Linked DNA regions of Rattus norvegicus. The protein of the gene in region 1 interacts with the protein of each later gene in a pairwise test. Links are inferred from orthologs where the notes say so. Each region holds a gene or a part of one and is shown on either strand. Other genes may lie near its edges.

What was found.
Region 2: the proteins of Trip10 (region 1) and Sh3bp1 interact in binary tests that used the Homo sapiens proteins (3 or more experiments, as listed by UniProt). The two-hybrid records come from large-scale screens. The link is inferred for Rattus norvegicus from reciprocal best matches to the Homo sapiens genes TRIP10 and SH3BP1.

The regions. Positions count from the first base shown.
Region 1 is NC_086027.1:2,226,000-2,232,814, forward strand, and holds part of Trip10 (cdc42-interacting protein 4), read left to right. Parts: coding exon 1-5; intron 6-232; coding exon 233-427; intron 428-2,407; coding exon of another isoform or gene 2,408-2,575; intron 2,576-2,780; coding exon 2,781-2,890; intron 2,891-6,526; coding exon 6,527-6,659; intron 6,660-6,815. UniProt on the Homo sapiens protein: Required for translocation of GLUT4 to the plasma membrane in response to insulin signaling. Required to coordinate membrane tubulation with reorganization of the actin cytoskeleton during endocytosis.
Region 2 is NC_086025.1:112,347,060-112,353,276, reverse strand, and holds the end of Sh3bp1 (SH3 domain-binding protein 1), read right to left. Parts: intron 4,668-6,217; coding exon 4,576-4,667; intron 3,347-4,575; coding exon 2,955-3,346; 3' UTR 2,618-2,954; downstream 1-2,617. Other genes in the region: Pdxp (chronophin), read right to left, coding at 1-274. UniProt on the Homo sapiens protein: GTPase activating protein (GAP) which specifically converts GTP-bound Rho-type GTPases including RAC1 and CDC42 in their inactive GDP-bound form.

The sequences.
Region 1 (6,815 bases):
AGAACGTGGGTGCTCAGCCTGAGCCCAAGGGGTGAAATGTGGGCTAAGGGAGGGCGGCTCCCCAAAGGTAGCCCCCCCCCCCCCCCCCCCCCCCCCGCTGAGCTGAGGACCGAACCCAGGGCCTTGTGCTTTCTAGGCAAGCACTCTACCACTGAGCTAAATCCCCAACACCCCAAAGGTAGTTTCTTAACCTGGCTGCTGGTTGCCATTCACTTCTTGCCCCTTCCCAAAGGACTCGAAGGTCCTCATCGAATTACACAAGTCAGGGTTTGCCCGCCCGGGTGACTTGGAATTTGAAGACTTCAGCCAAGTTATGAACCGAGTGCCGTCGGACAGCAGCCTGGGCACCCCAGATGGCAGGCCTGAGCTCCGAGCAGCTTCCAGCCGTAGTCGTGCCAAGCGTTGGCCTTTTGGGAAAAAGAACAAGGTGGGGTCCGGAGCTCTTGGGGTGAGGAGTGGGTGGAGGGGGGACAGTCAGCCGAGGTCCTCGCTGACTCAGCTGCAGCCACATGGAAGCCCGAGTCCTGGGGCAGGAATTTTCCTCTTGGCTGTTGGCCCAGGTTGGAGGGAAGGAAACAGAGGAAGGCAGGCCTGAGAACCCACTGGCTGGCTTTGGAGTCCCTCTGAGCATGAGAGGGAGGGAGGACAGGGCTGTGGGCCTGTGGCATCTTCTACTGCATCCTAAGACCCTTGAAATCTCATGTTGGCCTGACAGCTGTGACATTGCCCCCCAATCCCTGGGAGTCATCCTCTATCTCCATTCTCTGTTTTGGGGGACCCTCCACTTTCTGTGCATTTTCTCCTTGGGAATTTGACTTTTAGGGTCCAGTGTATACCTCGACACCACCTGGTTTACCCCTTCCACAATCACTCTTTCTTCTAGCTATTCCTTGCAGTTGTTTTCTTCTTTTCCATCCTATTTAACTTATACCCCTCTTACCTGACACCTCCCATCCCTCCTCCCACCTGTCATCCCTCCTCCCACCTGCCATCCCTCCTCCCACCTGCCATCCCTCCTCCCTCCTGCCATCCCTCCTCCCACCTGCCATCCCTCCTCCTACCTGTCATCCCTCCTCCCACCTGCCATCCCTCCTCCCACCTGCCATCCCTCCTCCCACCTGTCATCCCTCCTCCCACCTCCCATCCCTCCTCCCTCCTGCCATCCCTCCTCCCACCTGTCATCCCTCCTCCCACCTGTCATCCCTCCTCCCACCTGCCATCCCTCCTCCCACCTGCCATCCCTCCTCCCACCTGCCATCCCTCCTCCCACCTGCCATCTCTCCTCCCACCTGCCATCCCTCCTCCCACCTGCTATCCCTCCTCCCTCCCACCTGCCATCCCTCCTCCCACCTGCCATCCCTCCTCCCACCTGCCATCTCTCCTCCCACCTGCCATCCCTCCTCCCACCTGCTATCCCTCCTCCCTCCCACCTGCTATCTCCTCCTACCTGCCATCCCTCCTCCCACCTGCTATCCCTCCTCCCACCTGCCATCCCTCCTCCCACCTGCCATTTATCCTCCCACCTGTTATCCCTCCTCCCACCTGCCATTTCTCCTACCTACCTGCCATCCCTCCTCCCACCTGCCATCCCTCCTCCCACCTGCCATTTCTCCTCCCACCTGCCATCCCTCCTCTCTTGAACTTGGACTTCTGAGTAGTAGGCAAGCACTGATATCCCCCACCTCTCATCCCCCTATCTGTCTCCCTTAGCCTATGTGTCTGACCACCCTGGTTCTTTAAAAACAATATTACTTTTATTTATTTATGTATTGTGTGTGCTCATGCACATGTAGATGTCACTGAAGGACTTTCAGGACTCAGGTCTCTCCTTGATCCCAGGGATCAAACTTAGGTCATCGTGCTTGGTGGTGGCAAGCATTTTTACGGACTGAGCCATCACTTTGTCCCCAGTCTTTACTTCTGTCATGCACCCTACCTTCTAGACTGTAAGTGCAGGAAGCCTGGCAGAAACACCTCCTGGGGTGCTCTCTGAGTCCTAAGACTCAAGGGTCAAAGAAGGCTTGGGAAGTGACTGGCACCTGCCTCATAGTTTTTAATTTATTAGGTTTTATATTTTGGGGTATATGGAGGTCAGATGATAGCTTATGGGAATCAGTTTTCTCTCTTTCAGGGCTTGGCACAAACCCTTTTCCCTGCTAAGTCCTCTTGCTGGCCCTGGCTGCCCTTCTCTTGTCTTCCCTGGCACCTCCCAAATCTTCTGTTGTTGCTTTTATAGGTGTTTTCTGTGTGATCTTACCATTCAGTTGTGGTTTTCTTATCATTATTTTTCCCTCTTTCTCCATTTTGTTTTTCCTGTTTCCTGTGTCACGTCCGTCCATCCTTCTCCGACTACATCCTCGCATCTCCATCCCTGATTCATCCCCCCTTCCCTGGCCCCCACGGTTAGCCGCGTCCCCCATCCCTGTCCCTCCTGGGGGGTCACCTACCCTCCACACTGTCTGATGGACCCTCATCCCCCCGTTCTGGCCGTGACCCCTTGGCCATACTGAGCGAGATCAGTAAGTCGGTCAAACCGCGGCTAGCATCCTTCCGCAGCCTCCGAGGCAGCCGTGGGGTAAGTTGAGGCCGGATGGTGGGACCCTGGGCTCTTTCCTGCTGCCTGCTGGGTCCCCCAGATTCCAGCTTTGCTCTGTGCATGGCCTCACTCCTTAAAATTCCTGCTAGGGGAGGAAGGTGGACCTGGTATTTCAGGAGCGAGAGAGGCGCTTGGCAAACATAGGGTCGCAAATCCTAAACTCAGATCCTGTCTCATCTTGCAGACCGTGGTCACCGAAGATTTCAGTCACCTGCCCCCGGAGCAGCAGAGAAAGCGACTCCAGCAACAGTTGGAAGAGCGGAACCGAGAGTTGCAGAAGGAGGAGGACCAGAGGTGAGCGTGCTAAGCTGGACGAGGCTGGAGATGAATGCAGAACTAAGCAGGGTTACTCAAGGACCAGGCATAGCCTCCTCAGTAGAGCACTTGACTGGCTTCCTGAGGGTCCCATCCCTGCTGCTACTATGTTTCATGGTATACAAGGCTTTTGCCAACACAGTCTGGGCTCTGAAGGTCGTGGGTGTGCATATTGGTTGGTGTACGGAGGTGGAGGTCAGCGTCCTCTTTTTTTTTAAAGATTTATTTATTTATTATATATGAGTACACTGTAGCTGTCTTCAGACACATCACAAGAGGGCATCAGATCTCATTACAGATGGTTGTGAGCCACCATGTGGTTGCTGGGATTTGAACTCAGGACCTCTGGAAGAGCAGTCAGGGCTGTGTGGCTGTATACCCAACTCGCTATGTGGATCAGAACTCGGTTCTCAAGGCTGCTCAGTAAATGCTCTTAACCACTGAGCAGTCTCCAGCCCTGTACCTTGTCTATTATTATTATTATTATTATTATTATTATTTTATTTAATCTTGTTTTATAGTCCAGTCTTTATCCCTATCCTTGTCCGCCCTCTGACTGTTCTACATCTCATGCCTTGTCCCCCTTCCACTCCCCCACCCCCACCTCACCAGACCTCCCTACTCCTGGGGTCTCAAGTCTCTTGAGTGTTAGGCACAGGCACATCTTCTCTCACTGAGTCAAGACCCAGCAGCCCTCTGTTGTATATGTGTCGGGGGCCTCATATCAGCTGCTTGGTTGGTGGCTCAGTGTCTGAGCAATCTTGGGGGTCCAGGTTGTTGAGGCTGCTGGTCTTCCAATAGGGTCGCCCTCCTCCTCAGCGTCTTCTGTTTTTTCCCTAATTCAACCGCAGGGGTCAGCAGCTTCTGTCCGTTGTTGGGTGTAAATATCTGCATTTGACTCTTTCAGCTGCTTGTTGGGTCTCTCAGAGGGCAGTCATGCTCGGCTCCTGTTTGTAAGCACACCATAGCATCAGTGATAGTGTCAGGCCTTGGAGCCTCAAGTAGGTCTCACTATGTGGCCCTACTTGCCTGGAACTCACTACATAGACCAGGCTGGTCTTGAACGCATAGTAATGTCGAGTGATGATATTCAAGACGTGCACCACTACACGGCTTCTCTTCACTCTTTTTTGTTTGTTTGTTTGTTTGTTTGTTTGTTTGTTTGAGTCAGGGTCTCTCAACTGGGACCTGGGCTTGCTGAGTGGCCTGGACTGACTGGCCAACGAGACCTGGGGATCTCCTATTTCTGTTCACCCAATGCTGGGATTACAGATATGGGGTCTCATGTCAGGTTTTGTATGGTTTTAAAGGAGATTCCTGCCACACAGCGGGGTGTGGTAGCCCGTCTGTAATCTCAGCATTCCAGAGCCAGAAATAGGAGGATCCTAAGTTCGAAGCCAGCCTGGGCTTCTTGGGACACTGTCTCAAAACAGTAGTAGTGAAGAACAAAAACAGAGGTCGGCAAGGATCCTTTATTTCCCATGTCCTGTAAGTCCCTCCAGAAGATGGAGTCTGGTGAGCCCTTGTGCAGCCTCTCTCCATACATCACTGAGCAAACGACAAGGAAGTTTCCACTCCCCTCAGTGATCTGACTCAATGGCTAATAGCTCTTGACACCTAAGCCTGAGGATCTTAGTTTGATCTCAGAACCCACTGCAGACAGGGGCCATGACATGTGTGCGCACACTGGCATGGACAATAGAAATAAATAAGCAAATGGATAAATTAAACAATAGCCAGCTCATGGTAATAGAAACTTTACCACAACAAACTGTTGATGTACTTTCTAAGACAGGCTTGTCCTCTGTGGCTAGGAGCCACCCTTAGCAGCACTGGAGGATTCTGTGAAGGGCTATTTCACTCCGGACCAAGTCCTCACTAGGGGACTTTTGACAGGAACTGTACCCCGACCATGCCCCAGCCCTCATTTATTTTACTCCCTATCCCCACCCTGAGACAGGTTTTCTCTGTGTAGCCCTGGCTGTGCTGGAACTTGCTCCGTACACGGCTGACATTGAACTCAGCGATCCACCTGCCTCTGTCTCCTGAGCACTGGATTAAAGGTGTGCACCACCACCGCCGGCTTCATATATCTATTTTTATAATTCTTATTTTGGGACTGGGTCTGGGTAAATTGCCTAGGCTAGTCTGGAACTTTCAATTCTCATGCCTTAATTTCCCAAGTAGCTGGAATGACAAAACTGGCACTTGGGCTCAGTTTCAAAGCTCTTAGTAGACTGCAAAATAAAACAAAATGCCTGTCCCATGGAGCCTTACCCATTAGTGCCAAAACTGTGCAATCCCGGGCAGGAGCTCGGTCAGTCTGAGTCACTGTCTTGATAGGAGGAAGAGGAGAGTTATCTAATGCTGAAACACAAAATACTAACGTGAGAAATCTGCCAGATTTAAAAGGACAAGAAAGTCTTTACTCATTCTTTCCGGGCAACAAAATCCTCTGCCCAGCTTCCTTATATAACCGGAGTGACGTTTGCCACTTGTTAGCAGGTGGCCAGCCAGATTCTGTTTGGCTGTTCACATGTGGCCTTCTCCAGAGAATGGAAATCATGGGACAGAAGCCATGCCTGGAACTGCATGCAGCCTGGGCGTTTATAGTGGAGTGAAGCATCTGCCTGCTGGGAGTGCAAAGGGCTGGCTTTTCAGTTTGTTTACTTTTTGTCGTCGTTTTATTCTTTCTCTTATTTTGTATGGGCTTACCCGTGCCCTGGCTCCTATGAATCGGTCAGAGGACAGCTCTCTGGAGTCGGTTCTCTTTCCACTACGTGTCCCAGGGATGGAACCCAGGTCCTTAGGCTCGGTTGCAGGTGCCTTTTATCTGCTGAGCCATCTCGCTGGGCCTTACTTTTATATTTTATCTTGAGACAGGGTCTTGCTGACTTTTCCAGGTTGCCTTGGAACTTTAGTCTTCTGGGTGTGTACGCTGCCTGTGTGTGTATGCGACGCTGTGCACGGCCCTGCACACACGGAGGGCACAGGGTCTCGCTGGTGGCTGCTCTATCTCTCTAGCTCATTCCCTTGACGTAAGGTCTCTTGCTGAATTAGCAGTTGGTCTGAGGGCCAGTCTTTGCCTTTTCTTACCTCTGTCCTGCACGGCCCTTGAGTTATGGGTCCTATGGGAGCTGTACCCAGATCTTTACATGGGTGCTGGGGATTGAAACCCGTGTCCTAAGGCTGGTGTGGCAAGTGCTCTTACCCACAGAGCCATCTCCCCTGTCACCCTTGTCTCTTGAGACGGGGTCTTTAACTGATTTAACTAGAGTGGCTGGCCAGTTTAGCTGTCTCTGCCTCCCTGGTGCTGGTGCCTGGCTTTTCACCCGGGCACTGGGGATTGAACACGGGTCCTCTGGCTAAGTACTTGGGCGACCCACTGAGTCAGCTGTAGTCTCACTAAGTTGCTTGGGTTGACCTTGAACTCACTGTTGTAGCAGAGGCTGGCCCTAAACCTGCTATCCTCAGCTCAGCACAGGCACATGGGGGCTTTTGTCTCCACCACTAGCGTCTTGCCTCTCCTTGAGCCTGTCTTTTATTTGGTAAGTCATAAGAGTGTGTGTTTTCCTTCCTTCCTGTCTTTCTGTCTGTCTGTCTGTCCGGTCTCAGGGAGGCCCTGAAGAAGATGAAAGATGTATATGAGAAAACACCACAAATGGGGGACCCCGCCAGCTTAGAGCCCCGCATTGCAGAGACCCTGGGCAACATTGAAAGGCTGAAGCTGGAAGTGCAGAAGTATGAGGTCAGAGGCATGCGGCGGGTGTATGTGTGTGTGTGGGGTGAGTGTGTGTGTGTGAGTGTGTGTGTGAGTGTGTGTGAGTGTGAGAGAGTGTGTGTGAGTGTGTGAGTGTGTGTGTGAGTGTGAGAGTGTGTGAGTGAGTGTGTGCGTGTGCATGTG
Region 2 (6,217 bases), on another chromosome or scaffold:
CACACACCGCGGAGCTGAAGAGCTCCTCGGCGCGCAGCCCCGTGAAACCCAGGCGGGCGAAGCGCAGCGCCAGCTCGGGCCGCGCGCGCCGGCTGTTGTTGCTCACGAACAGCGTGGCCTTGCCCGCCTGCGCCAGCCGCTGCAGCAGCTCAGGGGCACCCGGAACGATGCGCTCGCCGTTCCACAGCACCCCGTCGCAGTCGAACAAGACGCCCTGCGCCTGGCCCAGCACGTCGCGCAGGGCCGCGCCGCGCAGCCGCTCGCAGCGCGCCATGCAGCCGGCTGGCCGCTCGCACGCGCGCGCTGCGCTCCCTCCGCCGACAAGGGGTAGCTCCACCAATTGACGTGCAGAACGGGGCTGGGGCGGGGCTACCATCACAGGCTTCAGCCAGTGGCGACGAGAGTTTAGTCGAAGGCTCTAGCCGATCTCGAAGGAGCTCGGAGAAAGGGGCGGGACCGCAGGGCGCCAGGGGACCAATGGTGAGCCAGACTGGTCTGGAGCGAATCGCCGTGCGCTTCCCAGCCAATTAGAAACGTAGGCCAGCTGGTTGCTAGGAGAAAAAAAACAGAGGCTGAGAGATTTGTTGTCTTCTGGCTAGATCTTGCCCTCCAAACCATTGACGCTCATTTAGAAACAAGTGGAAGGAGCAAGGGCCGCATCATCTATGTCTTCACAGTCTAGTCTAGGCTGTTGGGCTTGACCAGTGACCCTTCTGGTCATCTGACTGTGCTGTAAAGTTCCCCGAGGAATTAGATTTTGTTGTTGTTGTATAATTCGCGTTTAGTAAGATGTATACTTAAAAAAGGGTTGGGGATTTAGCTCAGTGGTAGAGCGCTTGCCTAGCATGCGCAAGGCCCTGGTTTCGGGGTTCGGTCCCCAGCTCCGAAAAAAAAGATGTATACTTTACAGTTCGATGGCTTTAGATAAATGATTTTTTTTTTTTTTTGGTTCTTTTTTTCGGAGCTGGGGACCGAACCCAGGGCCTTGCGCTTCCTAGGTAAGCGCTCTACCACGATAAATGATTTTTTTTTCTTTTTTTCGGAGCTGGGGACCGAACCCAGGATAAATGATTTTTAAAACACGGATGCAGGGTCAGTGAAATGGTTCAGCAGATGATGGCAGTTTTCTGTCAAGGCTGAGAACCTGAGTTCCTTCTTCAGAAACCTCACGGTGGAGAGAACATACTCCTTCAAGTTGTTTTCTGACCTCCCCAGGCACATCCACACACAAATGGATGTTAAAACATTGTAGCCAGGCAATGGTAGCACATGCCTTTAATCGCAGCACTCAGAATCAGAGGCAGGAAGATCTCTGATTTCGAGGACAGCCCAGTTTACAGAGCAAGTACTAAACATTCTGTACTAGAAACCCTGTCTCGAAAACCAAAAAATAAAAAAAAAAACAAAACAAACAATTACATGGATTTAAGACAGGAACCTAGAAATCTGACTTCATGTGTTTTGTGGGGGGTGGGGTGGGGGAAACAGCTAGACATTATTTTGGTCATCAGGGCCAATTGGTTGTCCATGTTATTGATGGGGTGGTCCCAGCTGCCTAAGTCTCCATTTTGTAGATGGGGACCTTTTAATCCGTCGAGCCTTTGAATAACCAATAGTTCAAAGCGTGGGGACCAGGAATGAATGGGGATCTGTACTGTCACAATTTTGCGGTTCTAAGCAGAGCTGTAGCTGCCTAACCTCCAGAGCAACTGAAGTTAAGAGACCAAGGGAGGGCTGGAGAGATGGCTCAGTGGTTAAGAACACTGACTGTTCTTTCAGAGGTCCTGAGTTCAATTCCCAACAACCACATGGTGGCTCAAAACCATCTGTAATGGGACCTGATGCCCTCTTCTGGTGTCTGAAGACAGCTACAGTGTACTCATATACATAAGTCTTTTTTTCTTTTTAAGAGACTAAGGGAAAAACCACGCCTTTGAGCCCAATTAATTTCTGTTCTCTGTGCCCTTTGTCATCCATCTTCTTGGCCTATAAGACTCTGGACAGCATGCCCCCGCCCACTCTAGGCTATTAAATTGGGCTTCCAGCTGTATTGACTCAATTCTGCCAGCCCACTCCCAAAAGACCCTCAGGTGTAGAGCTGTAAGGGGTGTTAGTCTGGGTCTACACAGAGCAACTCAGGAAGGCCATGAGTAGATCAATCCCTGCTCCTGGGAAGGTTGTGTGTTTGTGTGTGTGTGTGTGTGTGTGTGTGTGTGTGTGTGTGTGTGTGTGTGTGTGTGTGTGCATGGGCGCTTTGGTCTTCCGACCACAGACTGCCTCAGAGGAACCCATTCTCCTGAGAGGCTGAGCAAACTGCCCTGGGTGGGAGGAAGAGCCCAGGCTTCAGAACTAAGCTCATGTGTTACACCTCAGGCTGGCATGGCCTGTACAGTCCCCTCTCACTGGCTTCAGAGACGTCGTCACCTGCAGGTGGTGCCATTACCTCAGTGAGAAACTAGTCTATGGGAACCATATTCAGACAAGCAGCTCCGAGAAAGTCCCAAGCCCTTGGCTATTAAATCAGGAAGGAGGGGAAGATACTCTATCTGTCCCCTTTCCTCCTTATGGGGGTAGATTCTGTATCTCCAGGAGAGGAAGCTTTTGTTTGGCCGTTTACTCCAGTTTTGTTAAAAATAATTTATTTACGAGCCTTACAAAAATACATTGGCAAGAGAAAAATAAAAGTCCCGTAGGAACAGGCATGTCTGTTGTCCTTCCTTCTGGTAGCTCCCTTGAAACCCTGCCAGAGAGTGGGGAGTCGGGTGGGAACTCCAAGCTCAAAGTGGAAGAGGAAAGGTTTGAAATTTAGAGGGCTGGCTTGAGCCCTCCTGGCCATAGGGGCCGGCCCAGCAGGCACCTAGGCACATGGTGAGGGCTATCATGGGAGACAAGGGAGGAAGGGGAGAGGAGGAGAGAAAGGGGACACTGAAGACTTGCCAGGCAGGAGGGCCTGCTTAATCTGTCTCTGAAATGAGGCCCCTGGGCCGGGGCTGGGGTGGCAGAACTGGGGTAGGGGGATGCCCACCCACAGCCTCAGGGCCTCCTCTGTCCTCTGTAGCCGCTCCCTGGTCCACCTGAGCAGGCATGTTTGAAATGACAGGGGAGGCTGGGCAGGGGGAGACTGGTAAACGCCGGCTCTGTCGCCGGGCAGGTTGTGGAGGAGCAGGGGGTAATGGGGGAGGTACGGTGGGGGCCCGGAGGCTGGTGCCCACCAGACGGCGTGGCAAAGCTTGGGGAGTGCCAGGGCTGACCGAGCCAGCGGGCAGGGATAGAGCTGGAGGGGATGAGCGTGAGCTGGAAGGCTGGGGAGGTGGCATGGTAGGCCGGGCTGGTGCTGGGCGCTTGGCTGTGGAGGAAGCGAAACAGGAAAGTTAGGGGTTCACGTGTCTGTGTACATCGCATGTTCATTCCCGCATCTAGGCCTTTGTACATTTCTTCATGCGGGGGTGGTTTCACTTTCCACAGTGGGTCCTCATCACTGAGGTGCTCCCTGGTGGTCCTCTCTGGTGGAAGTGCTCCCTAGTGGTCCTCCTCCGTGGACCTCTCAGCTTACAGTAGATATCCCAGACCCCACCCCGGTTATGCTGCCAATCATCTTTCTCAGAAAACCTGTCCTCACAAGTATCTTGCCCATCTTTCTTGTGTCTCTCCCCAGAACATAAACCCAACATGGCTGCTAGTTAGCTCAGTCTAGGCGTCAAGCAGGAGTGGCTACACATCTGTTAATTATATAAATGCCTCCTGTCCCTATTGACCCATGGGACACAGGGGTCCTGCTTGCCTCTCAGAAGCCCCAGGTCCTCAAGCAAGTTCCAACCTTGTGAGGTAGTTGGAGGCTGCGGGGAAGCTAGGTGGAGCTGACATCAAAACTCTCCCTGGCTCTGTGGGCTCTGGTGTCTGGAATGGCTCATTTGCTCTCTGGGGCTTGTTTCCTCACTGGTAAGTCACCAGCCAGTTCAGGTGACTCTGACAGTACCCTGGTTTCCAGGTCTCTGTGTGGCCTGTAGACTTCTATGGCTGCTCCCCTAGCACGGCAGGATGCATTCAGCTCTAAAGTTCCTTGTCAGAACTGGGATGGGTGCTCTGCAGTGACCTAGTCCTCATGAGGATCCCTGACCTCTTACCTATATCCATCCTGGGCCAGACTGGCTTGAGTGTGCCAGGGAGCTCCAGGAGCCTCCAGACTCCTTGCAAACTTCTCACTTCCCTCTCCCTTAAATACAGTTCTGGTCCTGTCCTTCATAGTCCTTGGGCTTCCGGAGGGCTGGAACACTCGCCACTCTGACACTGACTTCCTTTCTCTAGCACTTCCTGTGTGCCAGAGCCCTGCACACTCCCTGAGGTCCCAGCGCTTCAAGGTTGGGGGGCAATTACAGTTCGGCCGCACAGAGGAGTGTAGAGGCTCTGACAGGCTGCCCCACCTGCCCAAGGAATAAACTGGAAGCTGGGTCCAGGTGCCGGGCAGCGAACCCCGACCTTCTCACTACGTCTAATGCCAGCCTCTCTGGAGGTGTGTAGAGACGGCAGGGGTGGGAGTTCCCACTCTCCAACTCTTCTCTCCCACAGCCCACTTACTCTTCCGAGTCATGTCCTCTGCCAAAGCAGTTGTATCTGTGGGGCTCCTGCTGACCTTGGGGGAAGCTGGTTTGGGCAATTCAGACTCTGTCCTGTCGAGGGAAAGAGAGGTGCGACAATCAAGCTTGGCTATTTCCTGGAAAGCTCCTACTAGGGTTCCACATGACTCCAAAGTGTTGGGTGGAAGGATTTGCTTCCCACCAGCTATGGCTGCGCCAAGAATGCGTTCTCGGTCTTAGTCTCTCTACTAGATACTTCAGGTATCGGCAGGGTTTGTGTCCATTAATCCTGGCTTAGTTAACTTTAACAGCCAACTTGACACAATCCAGAGTCACAGGGGAAGAGGGAGTCTCAACTGAGGGATCACCGAATCAGACTGGCCTGAGTCCATGGAGGTGGGGGACTACCGGTGCGGGACTGTCTTGATTTCAGATTGATGTGAGAGGGACCAGCTCACTGTGGGCCATGCTGTCTCCTGACAAAGCATCCGGAGTTGTCTAAGAAAGCCAACTGCTGCCGGGTTGGGGATTTGGCTCAGTGGTAGAGCGCTTGCCTAGGAAGCGCAAGGCCCTGGGTTCGGTCCCCAGCTCCGGAAAAAAAAAAAAAAAAAAAGAACGCCAACTGCCCAGTCAGCAGACAAGGCCTTAAGCAATGATGTCCAGGGCTCCTGCCTCTGCTCCTGCTTGAGATCCTGTCTCCCTGATAGACTGCTAAGTGAAGTATAAGAAAGTAAACCCTTGGGGGCTGGAGAGACGGCTCAGTGGTTAAGAGCACCTGACTGCTCTTCCAGAGATCATGAGTTCAATTCCCAGCAACCACATGGTGGCTCACAACCATCTGTAAAGAGATCTGATGCCCTCTTCTGGTGTGTCTGAAGACAGCTACAGTGTACTTATATATAATAAATGAATAAATCTTTTTAAAAAATTAAAAAAAAAGAAAGAAAGAAAGAAAGAAAGAAAGAAAGTAAACCCTTTTTTCCCTCCCAAGCTGATTTGCTCATAGTGTTTATCAGAGCCACAAAGGTTGGAAGCAAGCAAGCCTTCGGCTTTTCTAGGTGATCTTTTTTTTTTTTCCTTTTTTGAGACTGTCTCATTCTGGAACTGCCTAGGCTGGCCTTGAACTTTCCATGCCGAGAAAGCGGATCCTGAACTCCTGATCCTTCTGCCTACACCTCTCGGTGCTGATTAAGTATCATTGTGCCCATTTTGTGCACTCCTGAGGCTTGAACCCAGCCTTCCTGTGTACTAGGCAACCAATAAAGCTACACCCCTAGCCCCCACCCCCCCATGTGATCTGCCAACAGAAGTCAGAGTCAGAGTATGTGAGCAGCAGTTGAAAGAGTCTGGCTTCCTAAACGTCCGTCCATATGGCCATTTCCCCAGAGAGGCCTTCGTTTCCTACCTGCTGGTACAGCTCTCTATGCTGCCTGTACACTGTATAACCCTCCAGCAGAACGTGCATCCTGACATCACAGGAATGTAGATGGGGCAATGTCCACTCTCCCTGCCTCATTCAAGGTAGGGGCTGAGGGTGGCATATACCCGCCTCATTTAAGGGAGTCCCATCGTGTGAACCACTGAGAAATGCCAGTCTGCCACAAAACCTTTCAGACTTACAGGATTGAAGACAGGAAAGTTAT